Oreochromis niloticus: one gene and its partners. The protein of the gene in region 1 interacts with the protein of each later gene in a pairwise test. Links are inferred from orthologs where the notes say so. Each region holds a gene or a part of one and is shown in the gene's direction. Other genes may lie near its edges.

Region 1 (7,353 bases):
ATCTTAAAATAGAACAAACAAGTGATGAACTGCCAGGTTGAAATAAAATATGTGGTAAACCAAAAGTGAAAAATAATGCACATTTCAGAATTATAAAAAAAAAGGTCTTTTTCAGGGAACACAGCATGGGTTAACAATTTAAAGCTGCTCTGCAGCAATGGAGACTCGAGACTTGAAAGTTGGTGCTACTAATTCCTGCAGGTCCAACCCCCTCTGTCTGTTGGACACACTGTGGTACCCTGATGAGCATCAGATGAACGGTACTGTACTGCAGAAAGTAGTGTGTTGGTACAGAAATGGTGAGAAAAAGGTCATTAACAATGGAAGAGAGACAGACCATCATAACACTTATAAATGTAGGTCTGTCCTACAGAGAAACTGCAAAGAAAGTCAAGGTGTCAGTGAGTACAGTTTCCTTCAGCATCCAAAGGCTCAGAAACAAACTGTGACAGGAAGGTCTGCAGACCCAAAGACACGACTGAATCAGTTACAGTGTGATAGGCGGCTCACAGGACAACAGCTTCAAGCACAGCTTGATAGTGGTCGTAGTAAGCAAGTCTCAGTTTCAGCTGTGAAGAGAAGACCCTTCACAGTCAGACCAGGAGTGACATGTTTAGCCGCATGTTCTCCTTAAATTGCTGGCTGTCTGAGTGGTGTCCCAGAAACGATGTGGGCTTCATAGATAATTGGCAAACCTTCTGGAGGAAACCTGGTCTTGTTGGGAGAGACGGCATCCATCCCACTTTGGATGGAGCAGCTCTCATTTCTAGAAATATGGACCAATTTATTAAACCCCCCAAAATATGACTATCCAGAGTTGGGACCAGGAAGCAGAGTTGCAGTCTTACACGCCTCTCTGCAGCTTCTCTCCTCCTGCTACCCCCCCAAAAACCCATCTCCATTGAGACTGTGTCAGCTCCCAAACAGAGAAAAAACAAACTAAAAACCAGCAATAAACAACTTAAACATAAAAAATCACAAAGAAAGAACAATACAGTATCCACATCTGAACCAAAGAGTAAAACAGTGAAATGTGGATTATTAAATATTAGGTCTCTCTCCTTCAAGTCTCTGTTAGTACATGACTTAATAATTGATCAACAAATCGATTTACTCTGCCTTACAGAAACCTGGTTGCAGCCGGATGATTATGTTAGTTTAAATGAATCAACACCCCGAGTCATTCTAACTACCAGAAACCTCGAAGCACAGGCCGAGGGGGCGGTGTGGCAGCAATTTTTCACACCAGCCTATTAATCAACCAAAGACCAAGACAGACTTTTAATTCATTTGAAAGCCTGATGCTTAGCCTCGTCCACCCCAGCTGTAAAACTCAGAAACCAGTCTTACTTGTTATCATCTATCGTCCACCTGGGCCTTACAGAGTTTCTGTCTGATTTCTCAGACTTTTTATCTGATTTAGTGCTCAGCTCAGATAAAATAATTATTGTGGGTGATTTTAACATCCATGTAGATGCTAAAAATGACAGCCTCAACATGGCATTTAATCTGTTATTAGACTCAATTGGCTTCTCTCAAAATGTAAAAGAACCCACCCACCACTTTAGTCACACTCTAGATCTTGTTTTAACATATGACATAGAAACTGAACATTTAACAGTGTTTCCTGAAAACCCTCTGCTGTCTGATCATTTCCTGATAACATTTACATTTACAATAATTGATTACACAGCAGTGGAGAGTAGACTTTATCACAGTAGATGTCTTTCTGAAAGTGCTGTAACTAAGTTTAAGAATATAATCCACCCACTGTTATCATCTTCAATGCCCTGTACCAACATAGAGCAGAGCAGCTACCTGAACGCTACTCCAACAGAGGTCGATTATCTTGTTAATAATTTTACCTCCTCACTACGTACGACTCTGGATACTGTAGCTCCTGTGAAAACTAAGGCCTCAAATCAGAAGTACCTGACTGCGTGGTATAATTCTCAAACACGTAGCCTAAAGCAGATAACTCGTAAGCTGGAGAGGAAATGGCATGTCACAAATTTAGAGGATCATCATTTAGCCTGGAGAAATAGTTTGCTGCTTTATAAGAAAGCCCTCCGCAAAGCCAGAACATCTTACTATTCGTCACTGATTGAAGAAAATAAGAACAACCCCAGGTTTCTCTTCAGCACTGTAGCCAGGCTGACAAACAGTCAGAGCTCTACTGAGCCAACCATCCCTTTAACGTTAACTAGTAATGACTTCATGAACTTCTTCACAAATAAAATTCTTATCATTAGAGAAAAAATTACCAATAATCATCCCACAGATGTAATATTATCTACAGCTACTTTCAGTACCATCGATGTTAAGTTAGACTCTTTTTCTCCAATTGATCTTTCTGAGTTAGCTTCAATAATTAATTCCTCCAAACCATCAACGTGTCTTTTAGACCCCATTCCTACAAAACTGCTCAAAGAAGTCCTGCCATTAATTAATGCTTCGATCTTAAATATGATCAACCTATCTCTAATAATCGGCTATGTACCACAGGCCTTCAAGGTGGCTGTAGTTAAACCTTTACTCAAAAAGCATCTCTAGACCCAGCAGTCTTAGCTAATTATAGGCCAATCTCCAACCTTCCTTTCATATCAAACATCCTTGAAAGAGTAGTTGTCAAACAGCTAACAGATCATCTGCAGAGGAATGGCTTATTTGAAGAGTTTCAGTCAGGTTTCAGAGCTCAGCACAGCACAGAAACAGCTTTAGTGAAGGTTACAAATGATCTTCTTATGGCCTCTGACAGTGGACTCATCTCTGTGCTTGTCCTGCTAGACCTCAGTGCAGCATTCGATACTGTCGACCATAATATCCTATTAGAGCGATTAGAACATGCTGTAGGTATTACAGGTACTGCACTGCAGTGGTTTGTATCATATCTATCTAATAGACTCCAATTTGTGCATGTAAATGGAGAGTCCTCTTCACACACTAAGGTCAATTATGGTGTTCCACAGGGTTCAGTGCTAGGACCAATTCTGTTTACATTATACATGCTTCCCTTAGGCAGCATCATTAGAAGACATAGCATAAATTTTCACTGCTATGCAGACGACACCCAGCTCTATCTGTCCATGAAGCCAGGTAACACACACCAATTAGTTAAACTGCAGGAATGTCTTAAAGACATAAAGACCTGGATGGCCGCTAACTTTCTGCTTCTTAATTCAGATCAAACTGAGGTTATTGTACTCGGCCCTGAAAATCTTAGAAATATGGTATCTAAGCAGATTCTTACTCTGGATGGCATTACCTTGGCCTCCAGTAACACTGTGAGAAACCTTGGAGTCATTTTTGACCAGGACATGTCCTTCAATGCACATATTAAACAAATATGTAAGACTGCTTTCTTCCATTTGCGCAACATCTCTAAAATTAGAAACATCCTGTCTCAGAGTGACGCTGAAAAACTAGTTCATGCATTTATTACTTCCAGGCTGGACTACTGTAATTCTTTATTATCAGGATGTCCTAAAAACTCACTGAAAAGTCTTCAGCTGATCCAAAATGCTGCAGCAAGAGTCCTGACAGGGACTAGAAAGAGAGAGCAGATTTCTCCTGTATTGGCTTCCCTTCATTGGCTTCCTGTTAAATCCAGAATTGAATTCAAAATCCTGCTCCTCACATACAAGGTCTTAAATAATCAGGCCCCATCTTATCTTAATGACCTTGTAGTACCATATCACCCTATTAGAGCACTTCGCTCTCGCTCTGCAGGCCTACTTGTTGTTCCTAGAGTATTTAAAAGTAGAATGGGAGGCAGAGCCTTCAGTTTTCAGGCCCCTCTTCTGTGGAACCAGCTTCCAGTTTGGATTCGGGAGACAGACACTATCTCTACTTTCAAGATTAGGCTTCAAACTTTCCTTTTTGCTAAAGCATATAGTTAGGGCTGGACCAGGTGACCCTGAATCCTCCCTTAGTTATGCTGCAATAGACGTAGGCTGCCGGGGATTCCCATGATGCATTGAGTTTTACCTGTCCAGTCACCTTTCTCACTCACTATGTGTTAACAGACCTCTCTGCATTGAATATCTGTTATTAATCTCTGTCTCTCTTCCACAGCATGTCTTTATCCTGTCTTCCTGCTCTCACCCCAACCGGTCGCAGCAGATGGCCCCGCCCCTCCCTGAGCCTGGTTCTGCCGGAGGTTTCTTCCTGTTAAAAGGGAGTTTTTCCTTCTCACTGTCGCCAAAGTGCTTGCTCATAGGGGGTCATATGATTGTTGGGTTTTTCTCTGCACCTGTGAAGCGCCTTGAGGCGACTTTTGTTGTGATTTGGCGCTATATAAATAAAATTGAATTGAATTGAATTGAATTGAATTGAATTGAACTTCCTGCTGTAGGTTTGACAGGACGAGCTGCAGCAAGAAAGCCAGATGTCAGAATCAGACAAAGAGGCTTGGCTGGCCCATGAAACACCACCATTGGACTACTGCAGACTGGAAGAAGGTATTATGGACTGATGGATCAGAATCTGGAATCTTTGGTTGTTAAGTGTTAGCAAATACAGAATGATTATCTGGTTGAAGGTAACTTCAGAGAGGTGATCAGTGAGCAGCAACATGGTTTCACTACATACGTGATGTTTCCTTTGATAGTGTTGATGAAGACAGAAGGTGTTACACTGTCTCTTTAGACAAGAACTGTGCTACTGTATGACGACTGGTTCCTATATAGTACATTTCTGGTGTACTTGACCCCAAGTACTTTATTCAGGGAGCTCTTTGGGTGTAGACATCTATTAAAGACTGTACAGAGAAAACCATGTTGGCATCATCAGCTGATGGATGGTGACGAGATGAGGTGATAGTCCTGCTTATACTAAAGTTAAAGACAAAAAGTCAAAATGATTCATCATCCATGATGTCACATAGACAGTAACTCAGATCTGCACAGCTTCTGTTTTAAACACTGTAGTCAGCTGCAGAAAGAGAACATGAGATTTTCTCTGACAGCATTCAATACAACCTGATGTAAGGTCAAAGGTCGTCACCTGATGAAATAAAAACTTCAACAAGGAATTCTTTCACACTGGGTCTTGCCAATAGTGTGTTATTTACCATAAAGTAATTCAGAGTCAGTCATATCTGAGTAATGACAATGTAATATATTGTGGAGGTAAGCATTACGACACCAGGTTCCCGTGCGCGCCGAAGACGTCCCTAAGACCGCTGTCATTACCCCCTTCGGCTTGTTCGAGTTTTTGCGCATGCCGTTTGGCCTGAAAGGTGCCGCCCAGACCTTTCAGCGGCTGATGGACTCAGTTTTGCGTGGGCTGCCGTTCGTTTTTGTTTATCTGGACGATATATTGGTGGCCAGCTGCTCAGCGAGCCAGCACGAGTCCCATCTGCGCCAGGTTTTCCAGCGTTTGGCAGCGCACGGCCTGATCATCAACCCTTCCAAGTGCCAGTTTGGGTTGCCTGTTCTGGATTTCCTCGGGCACCGCATTTCCGCTGAAGGTGTGGTTCCGTTGCCCGACAGAGTCCAGGCCGTTTCAGCTTTTCCACGCCCCACGTCGGTTAAAGCGTTGCAGGAGTTCTTGGGGATGATAAATTTTTACAACCGCTTTCTCCCCAGAGCTGCCCACCTGCTGCAGCCACTCTATGCTGCCTTAAAAGGTAAAACAGCCAAAGATCCGGTTGACTGGCTGCCGGAACGCATCCATGCGTTTTCCGCAGCCAAGTCTGCGCTGGCTGACGCCGCCCTGCTGGCACACCCGCTCCCGTCGGCGGAGATCGCGTTGACCACCGACGCGTCCGACGTGGCAGTGGGTGGGGTGTTGGAACAGCGGGTTTCAGGTCTCTGGCAACCGCTCGCCTTTTTCAGTCGTACGCTCCGGGATGCCGAACGCAAGTACAGTGTTTTTGACAGGGAGTTGCTAGCCCTGCACCTCGCGACACGGCATTTTCGTTTTTTCCTCGAGGGTCGCAACTTTACTGCGTACGTTGACCACAAACCTTTGACGTTTGCGATGTCCAAGGTCTCTGACCCATGGAGCGCACGCCAGCAGCGCCAGTTGGCGGCCATTTCGGAGTTTACCACAGACATTCAGCACGTGGCTGGTAAGTCCAATCACGTCGCTGACTGTCTGTCACGTGTGTTGGTTTCTCCAGTGTATGTCGGCGTCGACTACGCTGCCATGGCCGCCGAGCAGCATGCTGACCCGGACATCCTGGCGCTTCAGTCAATGAAAACGGGCCTCGTGCTGGAGGACACCCCGGTGTGGGACGGCGGTCCGCGCCTTCTTTGCGACGTTTCTACCGGCCGCCCCCGCCCGGTGGTTCCCCTTTCGTGGCGTCGTCGTGTTTTTGACTCGGTGCATGCCCTCTCTCATCCCGGCGTCCGGGCCTCGGTCAAGCTGGTCAGCGCCAGGTTCGTTTGGCCGGGCCTTCGCAAGACGGTGAAAGAATGGGCGGCGGTTTGTGTCCCATGCCAACGCTCAAAAATCCACCGGCACACGCAGGCACCCCTCGAACCTTTCCGTATCCCCGGTCGGCGTTTCGATCACGTCGGGGTCACCAATGTGGAGGTAAGCATTACGACACAGAGCTCTCAGTTCACACTCCTTCTTTATTTGTCTCCAACATCAACTGGACATATCGCGCCACAAAACAGAAGAACACACTTCCTCAACACTGGGTGTGAGTGGAGCCCTCTAGTGGTCCACCACAATATATAGATTTTTACTGTATAGCGTTCTACAGGACTGAAGGAGGTGCTGGTAAAGACTACGAGTCCTGCTTGATCCCTGCACTGAGATCTGGCACAGGACAGCTGTGATGAAAGACCTCTGCACCCAGGAGACACAGTTTGGTCCTGATGGTCTCCTCATTAGGTCTTTTCCAGGCTGAATGTTGACGATCATAATATCATCATATATATTTAATCTCTCTAATATTCTGGGTATTTATATTTGAGGTATTTCTTCTATTTTGTAACTTTGTTACATAATGTATAATTTGATTTAGTTCAGTCTGCTCCTGTTGTCTTGGCGCAGCTGTAACCACATCATTTCCTTAGGGATTAATAAAGTATACTGATTCTAATGTGGAATTTGGATCCTGTTATCAAATGCAAAAGAACAAATTACACTTGTATGAAACCTGCTGCTGCTGTGTTTTTAGATCTAACGAGCTGTAGAGTGCTCATGGATCTAAAACTGTTTAAATCTTCAGGTTTATATCATCCTCAGTCTTGTTTCAAGGACAACATTTAATTTCCAGGCAATTCTTTCACAGTACTCTGTGGAGTGTGCAGCTGATGTCATCTCTGGGGAGAGTGCTGAGAGTGCTGAAGCATTCAAACATAGAGACTATTAGAGTAACACAGGTGTGTCGCATTG
Region 2 (7,500 bases), on another chromosome or scaffold:
TAGTCTCAGCTCTGAGGTCAGTTTACTGAGCTCTTTGTTATTTATGAAGATTTTTCAGTTATGCTAGGTAATATCAAATCTAATTTTATTTATAGAACACTTTTTAAAAAATACTGTTGCTGTACAGTGCACCCGAACCCCATGCAACAAATCAATGAAACAACAACAATATTACAATTGTTATTATTTATTTTACTTTATGTTTTTTTAAGGCAACATGGAGGTCACCTTAACATGGGACGAGATATCATTCCACAAATTTGGGGGTGATAACTGAAAAAGCTTGATTGTCCCTGGTTTTTCAGCCAGGTTTTTGGGACTGCCAGGAGCAACTGGTCAATGGACCTCAGCGACACTGAAGGAACATATGGAGTCAGCAGCTCACATATACAGTATCTCTATTTTTGTAAATACTTTATTTTCATGGGACGACACTGAAGATATGACACTTTGATACAATGTAAAGTAGTCAGTGTACAGCTTGTATAACAGTGTAAATTTGCTGTCACCTCAAAATAACTCAACACACAGCCATTAATGACTAAACTGCTAGCAACAAATGTAAGTACACCCCTAAGTGAAAATGTCCAAACTGTGGCCAAAGTGTCAATATTTTGTGTGGCAACCACTGGAGTTCACTACATCTTCACAGGTTGCCGCAGCAATCCTCTTCCACTCCTCCATGATGACATCACAGAGCTGATGGATGTTAGAGACCTTGCGCTCCTCCACCTTCCATTTGAACATGCCCCACAGATGCTCAATAGGGTTTAAGTCTGGAGACATGCTTGGCCAGTCAAGTACCTTTACCCTCAGTTTATTTAGCAAGGCACTGGTCTTTTTGGAGCTGTGTTTGAGGTTATCATCATGTTGGAATACTGTCCCATGGCCCAGTTTCTGAAGGGAGAGGATCATGCTCTGCTTCAGCATGTCACAGTACATGCTGACATTCATAGTTCCCTCAATTAATTGTAGCTTCTCAGTGCTAGCAGCACTGATGCAGCCCCAAAAAATGACATCACACCACCATGCTTGACTCTAGGCAAGACACACTCTCTTTGAACTCCTCACCTGGTTTCCACCACACACCCTTGACACCATCTGAACCAAATAAGTTTATCTTGGCCTCATCAGACCAAAGGTAATCCATGTCATCAGTCTGCTTGTCTTCAGCAAACTGTTTGTGGGCTTTCTTGCTTTCTTGTGCATTGTCTTTAGAAGAGGCTTCCTTCTGGGATGACAGCCATGTGATGCAGTGTGTAGCATTTGGTCTGAGCACTGACAGGCTGACCCTCCACGCCTCCAACCTCTGCAATAATGCTGGCAGCACTCATACATCCATTTTCAAAAGACAACCTCTGGATATGACGCTGAGCATGTGCACTCAACTTCTTTGGTCGACCATCACCACCGTGCTGCAGCTCAGGTTCACGGTGTTGGCAACATTCTTATAGCATAGACCATCTTTATGTAGTGTAACAATTCTTTTTTCAAATCCTCAGAGAAGATCGATTCTTTGATATGATGTGCCATGTTAAACTTCCAGTGACCACTAAGGTTTGTCACTGTGCTTTAACATACAGCTGCAGAGGGCCCAGGTCCAAAAGAGAAGCAGCACACACACCACTGAGTCTGAGCACAATGACCCCAGTCTTACTTTAATTTAAATTAAAAGAGTTTTAAGCCATCCATCCTTCAGATTCTTCAGTAGAGATTTAGGGGAGCTGACATCATTTCATTTATGGGCATGTAAATGTGGGTGTCATCTGCATAGAAATAGTAGGCAAGGCCATGATTTTTCATTTGCACAATGACTTGAAACTAGCCCACTGATAGAACAACGGCTGTGAGGTCAATTGTTCCATCATTGTGCGAATGTACTGTTTATAAGGTTGGAGAAACCTGCAGTCAGATGAGACTGAAGAAGTCACTTGGACGAGTGACGAAACGTTTCTCCCACTGAAAACGCTACGTCCAGATGAACAGAATCAACTTTTTTGATTTACTGACCTGGATGATTGAGCATGCATCAAGACATTGCTGATGTGGTTATGAAGATCTCCTTTCAGCACACTCACTTCACCAGATTCACCTTGTTTCTTTTCCTCACCTTTGATTGGGTGCGGTGCTTCCCCTTAATTGCGCTCACCTGTCACCCGTTATATAAGGACTGCACTCACCTACACCTCACTTTCTTCACTCCCACATGGCGTGGCAGCTGAGGTGAGTTTCTGTTGAGTCTCCTGAGTTCATGTACTATTTTAAGTTACTGAGGGACTTAAATCACACTTTATTTCCTTTCAGAGTTAGCAGTTCATCTGTCTTTCCCTACTGATTATTCAAATAAAAGGAAAAACCTGTGATTGATGACTGTTCATTCTCATTCTGATCAAATGAACCCATGATGGTAACAATCTCAAACCTCCTCTGAGCCTTCCTTCAAAACAGATGTGTTTGTTGCAGTAACTAACTGTCAGCTGATGAGTCTCTGTAAACACTGACTTATTCCATCAATTTGTTCTTCTGTCTGCAGGTGGAGGTGATGGTAAACTGGGTGGTGTGTGTGTGCTGAGAGAGGATGAGCTGTGTCCTGCTGAGTCAGAGGTAAAGCAGCAGCAGCAGCTTGTGTGTAGAGACGTTCTGAATGGACCATGTTACTGGGCGGTGTAGAGGAGCGGTTCATCCGGCAGTGACTAACAGAGGAATGAGAAGTGCAGATGACTGTTAGTGCTGCAGAGTGAACTGATCTGGGAACAGCTCCACTGTCAGACACAATGCGGAGTCCAGCATCATCCCTGTGCGTCCCTCTGGATCTGATGGAGTACCTGGACTGCTCTGCTGCTGCTGAGTTTAGGCTGAAAGTCTGTTTCAAGTTAATCAATGCTCTAATCAATTGAAATTAACTATGGCGCTAACTCTGTCTGTCATTCTATCAGCCACTGTGATACTTTTTGCAGCTCATTTTTTGACTTATGTGAAATTGTATTGTAGGAACATGATAAATCTTTTTGTCTTTTTGTTTAAACTGAAGCTATTCATGCTTAAAGTCTGTGATTATTATAAAATAATCTTGGAGACATTTGTTTTCTAAGTAGATTGGGTTAATTCTGCAAGACAACTTTTTAGAAACGAGTATTAGCCCATTTATTTACACTACATACACTTAAAATGGCACCAAACACTAGGGATGACCCTGGTGTCTTCTACAGAATATTTAACACCAATTAACTTTTCCATCCTACAAATAGCAATGATCTGATCCTCTAGGCTCTTCATCTCACTCCTCATCCCTTCTACCGCTTTTAGTCAGTTTAGAGGAAAAAAAATTCAAATTTCGAGGTGTTAATTCTTATCATTATGTTGCCAGTTTTCACAAATCCTGCAGCTGCCTGGATGCTGGCAAGCTGCATCCTATGAGGTGCCTGAGCTCCTCGGGTACAGGATCAATCCTCCATCCCTGTACAGCAGTGGTGGCATAGCAGGGAAGTCATGGGTCCTTAAGCAACTACCGGTACATTAAAAAAGTAATTAATCAAATATTAGCTAAAAAAAAAAACTCCCATAATTGCTACATAGTTTAATGATTTTGTCTAGTAAATGAACTGGTTCTTGTAAAGCAATTATCTACTCTGAGTACTGAAAGTGCTTTATACAACATACCTCATTCACATCCATTTATACAAGCACTTTTTTTCTATTTATAAATGCTCTCTGACATTCACGTTGTCAAAGATGCATCGGAGAGCAATTTGTGGTCAGTATCTTACCCAAGGATAATTGGCATGCAAGCCGGAGCACCCAGAGATTGACCCACCAACCTTCCAATCAACAGGTGACCCCTTTCTAACTCTTGAGCTACAGACACCCCTATTTTCACTTGCTTTATGATTTTTCCTGGATTTGGACTTATTGAATTAGCTTGGAGTGTAGATAACATGGATTATTCAAAAAATTTTATTCTAATTTTTTCTAATTCTAATAATATCACAAGTGCTGCTGGCCAGAGTCTAGTTTATTTCTGAAAAATAAACATGTTTAATAATGAAGTTATTTCAGGATGATGGAGGATTTCTTGGTCAAACTTACGAATGACAGCTTTTATCCTGAAACAAGCTGCAGAGCTGTGGAGGTATACACCTGCATGTTTTACCTGTGCAGAGCTGCCCCTTCGGAGCAGTGGTGGTGCAGAGAGTGGCCACTGGGCCACAGATTGAAAGTCACCAGGCCTTGTGACCATTAAGCTGTTGCTCATTAAGCAAGACCCTTCACCCTGCATGTAAAGTTAAATAATCACCGGTGACATAATCAATATTTAATATGATTTATGTGCGTAGTATGCATTTATCTTTGTGTTTTTTAACCTCTTATTGTCGTTTTAAAAAATATATGGACTACAACTCCCAGACTAAAGGCCGCTTTGTGGTGCGCATGCGTGAAAAGTGGGCCGCGCAAACCCATGCGAATATACCGCTCTGTAAAATGGCGGTGTAAAAAGGTTTGTTCAAATACACAGAGCGGTGTTACCTGTTAAGGTGTTCAGCCAGACGTTACCTGGAGCTGTCAGAGGCGCGCGGAGGCAGAGACCGGACTTTGCGTTACAGACAAGGTGCGTCACATTTACCTGTTAACAAAAAGTCATTAAACGCCGGAAACGGGAGGAGCTCGTGCCATTAGCCTGCTGGCTAACATTAGCTGCTTGTGAGCGGCCCGGTTAGCTTGCTTGTTTAGTTCCGCGGCTAACAGCCAAAACATGATGTTAGACACCGGAGTGGAGAGGCCAACTGGCCTCGGTGTGTGCTCCGGTAATGGTAGGCCAGTTTATCAGGAGTCAGTTTTTCAGTAATCGGAAATCTGAGTAAAACGTTAGTTAGAAAATCTCTCGGCTCAGGTACACAGGTGATTGATTATACCCGGAAAGAAGCGCTAACCGAATCAGGCTAGTTGATGGTTAACCCGGATAAAGGCTGCCTGACAGGAGTGCTCAACCCTGTGCATTTGATTTAGTTAAACATCAGCTTTCCTTAGACCGCACTAGGAATTCACAGGCATGTTTCAACCTTTACACCATCCAGAATATTCGAACAGCAGCTCCACCACAGCTGTTTATAGTCGATTAATCGGTGATTACCGGCCTCCATTAATAACTAAACACCAAATGAAGCCGTGTTTTTGGCGAAAAGCTGTAAAGAATTTGGAACTTTTTATCATTTGACGCACTACTTTCTTTCAGTAAAATGTTCAAGTTATTTTTTCACATATTTTGAGGTGAAACCTTTTAAATGTTCAGCCTGACTAGCCGTCCAAAGCTCAGATTTACACCTGTTGTTTACCCGTTGCCTGTTCATCTGAATATCAGGTGTTTTATTGGAGAAAAAGCAGAGTGGTGTGTTCAGGTGAAGTAATACTGAAAGTAGGTGAGATAAAAGCTCAGGTTCAGTAAGTTAAGGTTCAGTCTGTGGGCAGCTTTGGACAGCCGACTACCTGCAGACAGTGACTGCTGTCAGGTGTGAGCGTTGTACGAAGGTCAGGTGCTTGTTTGTGCTGTTATGGTCCAACAGCTGTGGACAGCAGTGAAGTTCTAACACGCAAAGAGCTGAAGTGTTAGAAACAAGGAACTGTGTCCATTTTCCTTTATTCATGTCTCATCTTTGTTTGTTTGTTTGTTTGTTTTTTTTAAACCTTTTTCAGTTCCAGTTAAGTAAATCAATAAACATTTTCAATGAGCTGCATATATTATATGAATCTAGTCCACAGGTCTGCTAAAGTTAACATTAATTACTGAGTCATGACTTAAACATCATCCAGGAAGTTTGGTTTTATTTTAGTTAGTTATTTGCAGCATTCCAGATTCTTCCACAGATTTGTATTCTGGAGCATTGAGCCAGATCAAGAAGATGAGCAGAAAAATCGTAACAGTAGTGATATTAACAAGAAAAATCAACTAAAATAGTTTAGATTAAATAGTAATGGATTAGATTAAATAGTAATGGTAACAAACTGTCCCTAAAATTTTGAGTAATTGTGCTAATTACTCTTTGCAGAATACTTTACTTTGCATATGATAAACCGTTTTGTAAACATGTTTTTATTACAGTCCTAGTTTTTGCTTCTAGACTGAAACTTTTCTACTCCTTATTCAGTCCAATTCTGTAAAATGCTGATTAAGACACACTAAACCCTGAAAAAAAATAAAAGAGAACACAAACTGAATTCTTATGTTTTGTTACAGAGCCGGTGGGATGGCGAAGAGGATCGCTGATAAGGAGCTCACGGACAGGAACTGGGATCAGGAGGAGGAGGGCGAGGAGGTAAGAGGCCATGCTGAAGCTGTAAGTCTGGCTTCAGGAAGTTGGAATTATGTGAGTCTGACTTTCTTGTCCTCCTTCAGGCCGGGACGTTTTCAGTGGCGAGTGAAGATGTGCTTAAGAATCGAGCAATCAAGAAGGCCAAACGCAGAAACACTGGAACCGAGGTACGAGGAGAAAACCATTGTTTACCTGTTGCGTCTGATTATAATCATGAAGTAATCTGAGTGTTTCCCTGTTTCAGAGCGAGGGCAGTGGAGCATTTAAAGGCTTTAAAGGCTTCTCTTTGACCGCGGCGGCAAGCAGCAGCTCAGCTCCAACTCCCTTCTCCGGGTTTGGGAATGGCGGAAGCTTCAAAGGCCTCGGCGGTTTGACGAATGGGAACAGCGTCACGCCCTCCTTCGGAGGTTTCTCCTCACCTGCAGCGTCCTCGTCTGCACCTGGTGAGCAAAACATCGATCAGCTTGATCGGTTATTGATCGGAAACTATTTCCTCTTTATTTGCCATTCAAAACTTTCAGCTCAGAGATCCTCTTCGTCCTTCGAATGTGATCCATAAATGAGGTTTTTTTGTGTCTGTGTGTTAAAATGTCTTCATTAGTTTATAGGAGCTTTAAAAATGCTAAGAGATGGACATGATGATTTTATTGATCTCTTATGAGTGTAAAATGTGTTCAGGATGCTCACAGCAATTCATCTTTATGATCGATTAAAAAAAACATCAAATTTTCCAGCTCTTATTCTGCTTCTTTCTTTCTAAGCTGAGCTTTTTCTCCCATCACTAACATTTTCTCCTTCCTCGAAGGTCTGACCTTTAACGGGCCATCCTCGGCTAAACCCGCCGCTGATATTGCCACCAAGCAGACCAATGGCTCCGCCCCCAGTGCGAGTCAGAGCTCCAGCAGCAGCAATAAAGAGTACAGCCGGCAGCTCACGGCGCTCAACTGCTCAGTGCGGGACTGGATCACCAAACACGTGAACGACAACCCGCTGTGCGACCTCAACCCTATCTTCAGGGACTACGAGCGCCACCTGGCCAGCATTGAGCGCCAGTATGGCGGCGGATCAGCTGACGGAGGCTCTGAGGAGAAGAAGCATGGAGGGACACTGCCAGCCACAGCCGCAGTTCTTCCTCCTCCTTCATCTTCCTCCGGCAGCAGCTCGGCGGCCTCCACTCCTGCTGCCTTGTTCTCCT
Region 3 (8,010 bases), on another chromosome or scaffold:
GATATGCAGAAAAGCATTTCTTGAACCTTGAACTAGATAGGCTACAGCATCGGAAGACCACATCTAAGTTAAGAACAAATGGCTGAGGCTACAATTTGCAAAAATTAAAGCGATAGTTAATCAATAGTGAAAATGTCTTGATGCATGCTCAATCATCCAGGTAGAGAAATCGAAAAAGTTCATTCTGTTCATCTGGACATAGTGTTTTCAGTGGGAGAAGTTTTCAGAGACTGAAGAAGTCACTGTTTTGAGTGACAAAACATTTCTCCAACTGAAAACGCAACATCCAGATGAACAGAATCAACTTGTCAATTTTTTTTATTTTTATTTTTTTTGCATCCTTAAATCAGCTGATTTACAAAAGTAAATCATGCCAGGTTACAAAGCTCAGATCACCTCAACCTGGTTTGTTGAACACTGTTGTTGAATATTAAAACTTTTCACTACATACATTCATTCAGCACTATGGAAAATCGGGGAAAATGTTGCCTGGTGTGATGAGTCTCAATTACTTCTACAACATTTAGATGTTAGGGCCAGAATTTGGATCCATCCTACCTTGTATCAGTGATTCAGGATGTTTGTGGATTAATGGTGTGGAGGATATTTTTCATACACTTTGGTCCCCTTGGTACCAACTGAGCATCATCTAAACAGCCTACCCAAGTACTGCTCCTGACCATGTCCACCTTTATGACCACACTGTACCCATCTTCTGTTGGCTACCTCCAGCAGGATATCATAATCTCCCAAAGCTCAGATCATCTTAACCTGGTATATTCAACAACACAGTGAGTTCCGTTTACTAAATTTGGCCTCCATAGTCATTCAATCCAGTAGAGCATCTTTTACCTTTTTTTCTGTCATTTCACTAATTAATCAGTTATTGCAGCTTTTACCAGTACTTTTTCCACCTCTTTATGTAGTACAAATGAGTACATTATAAGCACTACCAGTAGCCACTAGCAGATAGGGCTAAATGTTTCACTACACGTGACTTAACAGATAAGCCACAGATTAAATCTACAGATATGCTGTTCAAACTGTACAACAAACATCATTTAATTTCACTCACCAGAGTGGAGAGATGTCATATGTGAACAAAATGGTTACATAATTATTTCATTTAATGAAAAGAGAGTTAATTCTAATTCATATCACTCATGTATTTGCGTGTGGATGTATTTTACAGCTGATGACTCCTATAATAACGACTGCTGTTAAATGATGCAGAAGTGACTTTTATTAGACGAATAGTAACTTTTACAAAATTCTGTAAAAATAAATCCACAATTCTGAATACATAATTACCAGCGATTTATACCCTTAACTTTTAAATAAAGGCCAGCAAAACTGGTTGCATACTAAATTGAAAGTATATAAAAAAAAGATCATAAGCTTTGCAGTGAAGCACAACCAAAATAAATAAGCATACAGCTTTGGTTTGAATTCATACATCTTTCAAATAAGCAATGACTTGCCTCATCTTGTGTGTGCACACTACACAAAAAAAGAAGAAGAAAAATACTCAGATACAAACTGTGACGAGGCTTTGCATGTATAAAGCAATATCTTAACAGTGCATTTCAGAAAAAAAAAATGTTGCAATTAATTTCCTGGAAAATATTCCTGAGCCATAGGCTGAGCAGAGACAGTTGGAACTGAGTACACGTTATTTTGTTCAGGCACGTTGATCGAAAGTGTTTCACTCAAATCTAAAAAAAAAAAAAAAAAAAAAAAAAAAGACAGACAGACAATTTAATAATCATTAAACCTTTCGAACCAGACAGTGTTTCAAAGTATTGTTTTTGTGTATTTTTACAACATACAAACCTTCATTAGCACGTTTGTTGCCTTGCAATGGAGAGACGTCCTCCTCCTCATCTGGGCCTAAGTCCTCAATCAGGACCTGGCCTGGGGCCTCCTTGCTTTGTGACTCTGTATAGAGGGTCTCCACTTGGGGAGGAGCTGAGGGAGGAGCAGGAGTTACAGCTGGAACAGAGTCTAGGGACTGAGCTGGGACTAAGACAGCATCTGGAGCAGGAGCTGAATCTTGGACGGGAACTGGAGCAGCAAAAGCCAGAGTTGGAGCAGGAGCTGAATTCTGCACAGACTCGAACACTGCTGCAGGAGCAGGAGCAGCAAGGACTGAAGCTGGTTGTGATTCCAGCCCAAACAGCGGAGGCAGAGAGCTGGTTATTTGGTCCTGAATGACCACAGCGGGTTCGGGTACCACCACTACTGCAGGAGTTTCCTTAAGTGCTTCGACTTCTTCCTGAACAGCAGACAGCTGCGGTGTGGGTTCAGTCTTCCTGGGCCTCCCTCTCTTCTTCGCACCGCTCTTGTCCTCAGCTCTTGATCTTTTCCGTTGGCTCTCCACCCTGAGAGAGCACCGCAGTTGCAATTAACTTCAACAACAGTGGACATTGATACAGCTCTTTGTGACAGTTTTGCAAAGCTAATAGTACAAAGTCCTTGACCCAGATCTGTGGCGTCAATAGAAAGAGCAGAGCAACCTTTGCTTTCCTCTTGCTCCATATTCAATATAAACCAGAGGAGTGATAAGCAGCCAGAATGCTGATAGTGTTTTCAGCATGTACTGCATGTACTGTACTGTACAGTGTTTCAACGCAGGCTACTAAACTTTTCTGGATAGGACCACCACTTTCTTCTACTGCACTTAAGTGCTGAAATTTGTAGATTTCTCCATGAGCATAGAGGTAAACATAGGCAGCAGCGCTAACATTGTCTGTGCTTTTGCTACAAATTTACCCAAAAACCCACTGGTTAGTTTCCTTCTCTTCTGCTTCGGCCTTTCTCTTCCTGAGAAGGTCCCTGTCTCGCAATCGGCGACGGATCCCACCTTTGAAACAGAGAGCCGTGCACAGAAATCATGTTCATATGGTGCATTAGAAATTCAAAGACAAACTGCATGACTGGGTAATGTGCTTGACTCATGACAATATAAAGATATTTCTTCTCCTAGCTACACACTGGCAAACTTTGAAAACAGACAGATTTGTGATATTACTTAAATGTTGATCAAAGGTCTGTTTCTGAGTTAACCACCAGCACCGCAGTGTGTGCAAAGACATAACCAGCTCCTTCAGCATTTTTGGTGTGGAAATGCTTGAGCAGCCGATTTCCAAAGAAGAGATTAATCTTTAAAAAAAAAAAAACCTACCTTCCTCTTCATTTGGATTTTTATATTCCAACTCTTGTTTCTCTTGTTGCGATGTGTCCTCCATTCTGAGTCCTGCTATGAATGAATTCAACTCATTGAAGGCGGGCAAGCGCAAAAAAAGACGACAGAATAACTTCTGACAGTTTTCTATTCCCACCCCTAGACGAATTATCTGGTTAACCATTACCACAGTGCAGGGAGAGTTCTTGCAGCTTTGGTCTTATCATATTTGTAAAGCTGGAGGAGTTGGCACAAAACTGACAGACAGGGGGGAAAAAGACAACAGCAAGTTTTCTGTGTGTGTGTGTGTGTGTGTATGATAGGGTAACAAATATATATGTTGTACTAGAGCTCTTCAGCAGCTGATCTAAAGGCACTGCTGTAGCTTAACAAGAGCAAGACTTTGACTGATTTTTGGACAGTTTCTTAAATAGGGGTCCAATATATGTGAAGTTATTAAGTTTTAAATATGATATCAAGAAAAAACACAAAAGCTCAAAATATTTCTGTAGAATATTCATAATATTAATCCACAAATCATAAGAAATATGCCTTTTTGGTAGGTAAACCACACTACAGACCAAACAAAATTCCTGTCTTCGTCCAGAGTTGGGGCATATACCCGTCTTATCGCTCAGATGGCAAGTTGCTCGGTTGGGGTGTGTTCACAATCTTCTAACAACACATTGAGCCCTGATGTGTGTGTGTTTGAGACACTCAGAGAGAGAGAGGGAGAAAAGAGCTATCCAGTAGAGTAAATAACACTCAACTGCCAATTGCTCCCAGCACTGTGGGGGGAAATGTTGAAAGGCCTCTTTCTAAATGTACTGATTTCTGCATGAAGGTGCTCGTAATGCACTCTCTTTTCAACATCATATGAAGAGAATCTATACACAGACATTCTGCACCGGTGGAAGCTGTGAGTGCTAAGAAGCTGAATGAAAACATGTATGTTTAAGTATAGGTTTTCACACACTCAAATTAAAATCACAAAACACAATCAACCAAACCTCTAGTGTTGAGTTCCAGCAGTTCAAAAGATCCCAAACTGCACATAGTTAACTCCTCAGCTAATAAAACTCCAACTGACACATTAATAAACCCCCTCCAGCATTACTGTTACAGCCAAAAGCAGATAGGGCTGTCATTCACACACAGCCCCACCGTTGCACAATGAAATGTGAGGAATGTCAGTGTAGATATTACAGTGCCATCTTCTGGCATTGCTTCTCAACTACCAAACACTGATTTAAAAACAGTGTCTGTGTGTATATATGCACTGTATGGACTGTGCCTTTAACATGCATGTGGCCAGAGTTAGGGTATTTGCATTGGTTGCCCTCGGCACACTATGCAAACACATCTTGCTAGCATTTATACATTTGTTATATTTACTAGACTTAAAACGGGCTATAATTTGTTATTCATTTATAGTATTAAAGCTTATTCACTAATTAATTTAGAACATAAGAAAAAAAAAACTACAAGCACAGTAGATTTTCTACTTCAACGCTGGAGAGTGTCAGGAAGTAAAGAGGAGGGGTTGTATGGGGTGCTCTACCCGTCCATATGTGTATATACAATGCTCTCTTTAAGGCAAACCACATATAGCCCTCCTTTTTAGCGGTTGGGGGTAGGAATCAACCATTTAGGAACCAAGAAACAACACAATTTTGTTCATTTTTCTTTTTTATTACAATGTAAAAAGTATCACACATTCACAAGACCCAACACACACATATTTACATATTTTTTTTTAAATAGGCATACATTATGATGGTTACCTCATAATTACACTGCTTATATGTTGACTATAAAGCAGTAATGCATTCGAGATTTCCTGTGAAACTTTTAAATGAAGCATAACAAAGTTCACCATGTGACCTACTTTATCGCCGTTTAATTGCTTGGTTGCTTATTTGTTTTGCATACGCTACACGCGTCTGTTCGTGCACATCCTTCGCTGAATAAAACCGACTTCTCAAAGAAAAACCCCGCCGTCTTCACTGAACAACACAGTACAGTAATTTCCTTGCATAGAATAAATTGCACCATAGCACCGTTTCGGGGCAGCGTCATGTTTTGTGACTGCAATGCCTTTTTTTCAGAAGCGATGGGCGTTTCTGGACGCAGATGGCGCTGTTGAGCATATATTTTGTTTCAGTCCCGTTTCCCTCCATGGTTTCCCCTCTCTCCGACTAACTTAGCGTTTGGCTCAGTTCATTATACAGTCCTATATTCTCCCTCCATTAGGGCATCTCTGCCTTTGGACTGAAGATCCCAGCAAAACCCCGAGGAGAAAAGTTTAACTTTCATAGGGCAAAATGGACATGAAAAAGAGGATCCACTTGGAGCTTAGAAACAGGACACCGTCTGATGTGAGTCGTGCTTTTTTTAAAACCAACCCTTAGTTTTCAGGCTAGCCCCTGCTAGCCTAGCTTGCTACTTTTTTTGCTTTGCGAGTGACCCTGTGTGGCTAACGTAATGGTGACCACATGGGCTTTTGATTGTGTTTCTCATTTATAACGGGGCGGAAAACAGTCGCATAACAAGCCAGAGCCTTTATGCTGGCTGGGATTGGGCGTATAGGGGCAACGAGACGAGAAAAGCTATATTCAGTCGTTACTTTGAAACGGCGATTCCCCCCCAGCTTGCTGGCATTATTGCAGTGCTTTAACCGTTTCGCAGCCTCCCTGGTCAATGGTGCACACACGATTCAGCTACACTCCACCGTTGTAGCACAATTAGTAAACTTCTTTTTGCGCCGATATGAGGAGAAAGCAGTTTCCTGCGCCGCGTTCGGCATTCACAGAGCGGTATATTTTATACAGACCTTGGAAGCCATGTTTGCTGCTAGCATAACTGCTAAAAAAAAGGAAAAAAAGGGGGAGCTTTTTTGTGTAATAATTGCAAAATCACTTTAAACTCTGGTGCTGAACAACAAACGAGTTTTGTAAACGTTAAACGGGCCGTCGCAGATCACGAGTCGTATGTTCACATTTCTGTGGAGTATACGTTTACATCAAACGGCCACAAAGATTCAGGCAGCGACAACAAAAAACACTTGGTTCACGAGTCATCCGTACCTTAAACCGCTAATGGTGAAAATACACCGCAACTCCAAAACCTTAGAGCCGGGAGACACTCAACAAACAGCCAACCGCTGCTGTTGGTGCTGATTTGTTTAAAGACACGTTGCAATCTGTAAGTTTTTAAAGGGAGTGTACATCAATTAATTCCCTCATTAATTCTTCTCTAGTTGTGCACCAAGCTATAGTATCACTTATCATCCGTGCATCGTCTTAAAGACGACGAAGAAGAATCGCATGCTTATTGAATGAAGCCTGGTGGTCCGGGGTTTCAGAACCATTCAGACTACCAGCCAGCTAACTTGGTATTAGGTTCCCGCCATATTACCCCCTTCTCGCTACCGGTCAAAGACAACAAAATCTATCCAGTTGTAAAGTAAAAACACCAAACACGACTACAGTGTGCTCCAGTAATCGTTACTATTGCTAAACTTGGCGCTTGCTACTACACAGATGCATGTGTTGGCCAGCGGCTTCATTGATCGAGCCAGCCTGCTCGAATGACACGGAGATCCGGCGCACCGCGCTTCATGCGTGGGCAGCCAAAAGCTCCCCGCTCGGCGTTCCCCCTCGTATCATGCACAAAATAAAATCAATTTAACACCGAAAAAACACTTTCGGTTATATGTAAATAACGCTTATTGCTCATTCTTAACAGCACTTTCCGCCATTGAAGCGTTCAGAGGACTGCATACTGTAGCTCAGGAATCGCCATGTTGTCATTCTGTCGTCTTTGAAGCTCTGGGAGAAAGGAACTGTCTCCATCTTTGTTTTTTACTAAATTTCCGTTCTCAATATATTTCCTTCGCCACTTCGACCTGAAAGCGATGCTGTACCCTCTAACAAACTGCCAATATCGGTCATTCGCTCGACGACAAGGAATATTCCACTTCCCCCACGAAAGCTGGTTTAACGAAAGAAAAAAAGAATCTCTTTACTAAGGGTGTATTCGCAATCCTTTCCGTTGCTGTTGGGTTGGCTAATGGCGGGCAGACAGACCTCTCTAGCTGCTCCTCTACGGCACGGCAGCGTTTAAAAGGGGCAATGGCTAGCCTGTAGCGAGCTAGCTCACAAAATCATTGCATTTGTCATTAGTGACTGCATCAGCAGGCCATGGGAAGCCGCTGCTTTGCTCTTCCTCGTTTCAAAGAAATCAATAGACGAACTGTGGCGGTCGGTTAAACGAAGCACACAGTGATAGCAAAGTGTTTTTAGATAGAGACTGAGTATCCATTTTGGTGTTTTTAATCGAGAAACGGCGGTCTTTGACGCTTGACAAGAACTTTTTTGGTAACGTTTAACAATGACTTGCGCAACCAGTGTGAGCTTTAACGGAGTCAAAGTAACTCCGCCTTCAGAGTTGTTTTTTCTAATATTTTAAGCAACTATAAAACGCCTTTAATCATTTTACACAAAGTGAAGGGCCATTTTACAAACACCACCACCCACTGATTATTAATACGTTAGGGCTGCTATATTCCCCGAACGCCTTTCTTAATGATTTTGTTTGGAAAAAAAATTATAATATCTGCGAAATATATTTTGGAATATTTAACATTTGGTCTGTTTTAAAATACACTTAAGGTATAAAAATTTTGCAAGTAGTTGTAGTACTTGCAAATGCATTAAAAAGTACAAGTAATTTTTAAATAATACTATTTGTTTGTTTTTTCAATTCCAGGTACGAGAACTTGTCCTGGACAATTGTCGATCAGTTGAAGGAAAAATCGAAGGTCT

The links.
Region 2: the proteins of kpna5 (region 1) and nup50 interact in binary tests that used the Homo sapiens proteins (3 or more experiments, as listed by UniProt). The two-hybrid records come from large-scale screens. The link is inferred for Oreochromis niloticus from reciprocal best matches to the Homo sapiens genes KPNA5 and NUP50.
Region 3: the proteins of kpna5 (region 1) and anp32b interact in binary tests that used the Homo sapiens proteins (3 or more experiments, as listed by UniProt). The two-hybrid records come from large-scale screens. The link is inferred for Oreochromis niloticus from reciprocal best matches to the Homo sapiens genes KPNA5 and ANP32B.

What each region holds. Positions count from the first base shown.
Region 1 is NC_031976.2:1,270,107-1,277,459, forward strand, and holds the start of kpna5 (importin subunit alpha-6), read left to right. Parts: upstream 1-4,283; 5' UTR 4,284-4,387; coding exon 4,388-4,460; intron 4,461-7,353. UniProt on the Homo sapiens protein: Functions in nuclear protein import as an adapter protein for nuclear receptor KPNB1. Binds specifically and directly to substrates containing either a simple or bipartite NLS motif.
Region 2 is NC_031981.2:22,122,229-22,129,728, reverse strand, and holds the start of nup50 (nuclear pore complex protein Nup50), read left to right. Parts: upstream 1-4,425; 5' UTR 4,426-4,606; intron 4,607-6,229; 5' UTR 6,230-6,239; coding exon 6,240-6,308; intron 6,309-6,388; coding exon 6,389-6,472; intron 6,473-6,549; coding exon 6,550-6,748; intron 6,749-7,110; coding exon 7,111-7,500. UniProt on the Homo sapiens protein: Component of the nuclear pore complex that has a direct role in nuclear protein import. Actively displaces NLSs from importin-alpha, and facilitates disassembly of the importin-alpha:beta-cargo complex and importin recycling.
Region 3 is NC_031971.2:17,395,216-17,403,225, reverse strand, and holds the start of anp32b (acidic leucine-rich nuclear phosphoprotein 32 family member B), read left to right. Parts: upstream 1-4,923; 5' UTR 4,924-5,508; coding exon 5,509-5,562; intron 5,563-7,954; coding exon 7,955-8,010. Other genes in the region: hemgn (formin-like protein 1), read right to left, coding at 1,609-1,715, 1,834-2,381, 2,773-2,863, 3,185-3,248. UniProt on the Homo sapiens protein: Multifunctional protein that is involved in the regulation of many processes including cell proliferation, apoptosis, cell cycle progression or transcription.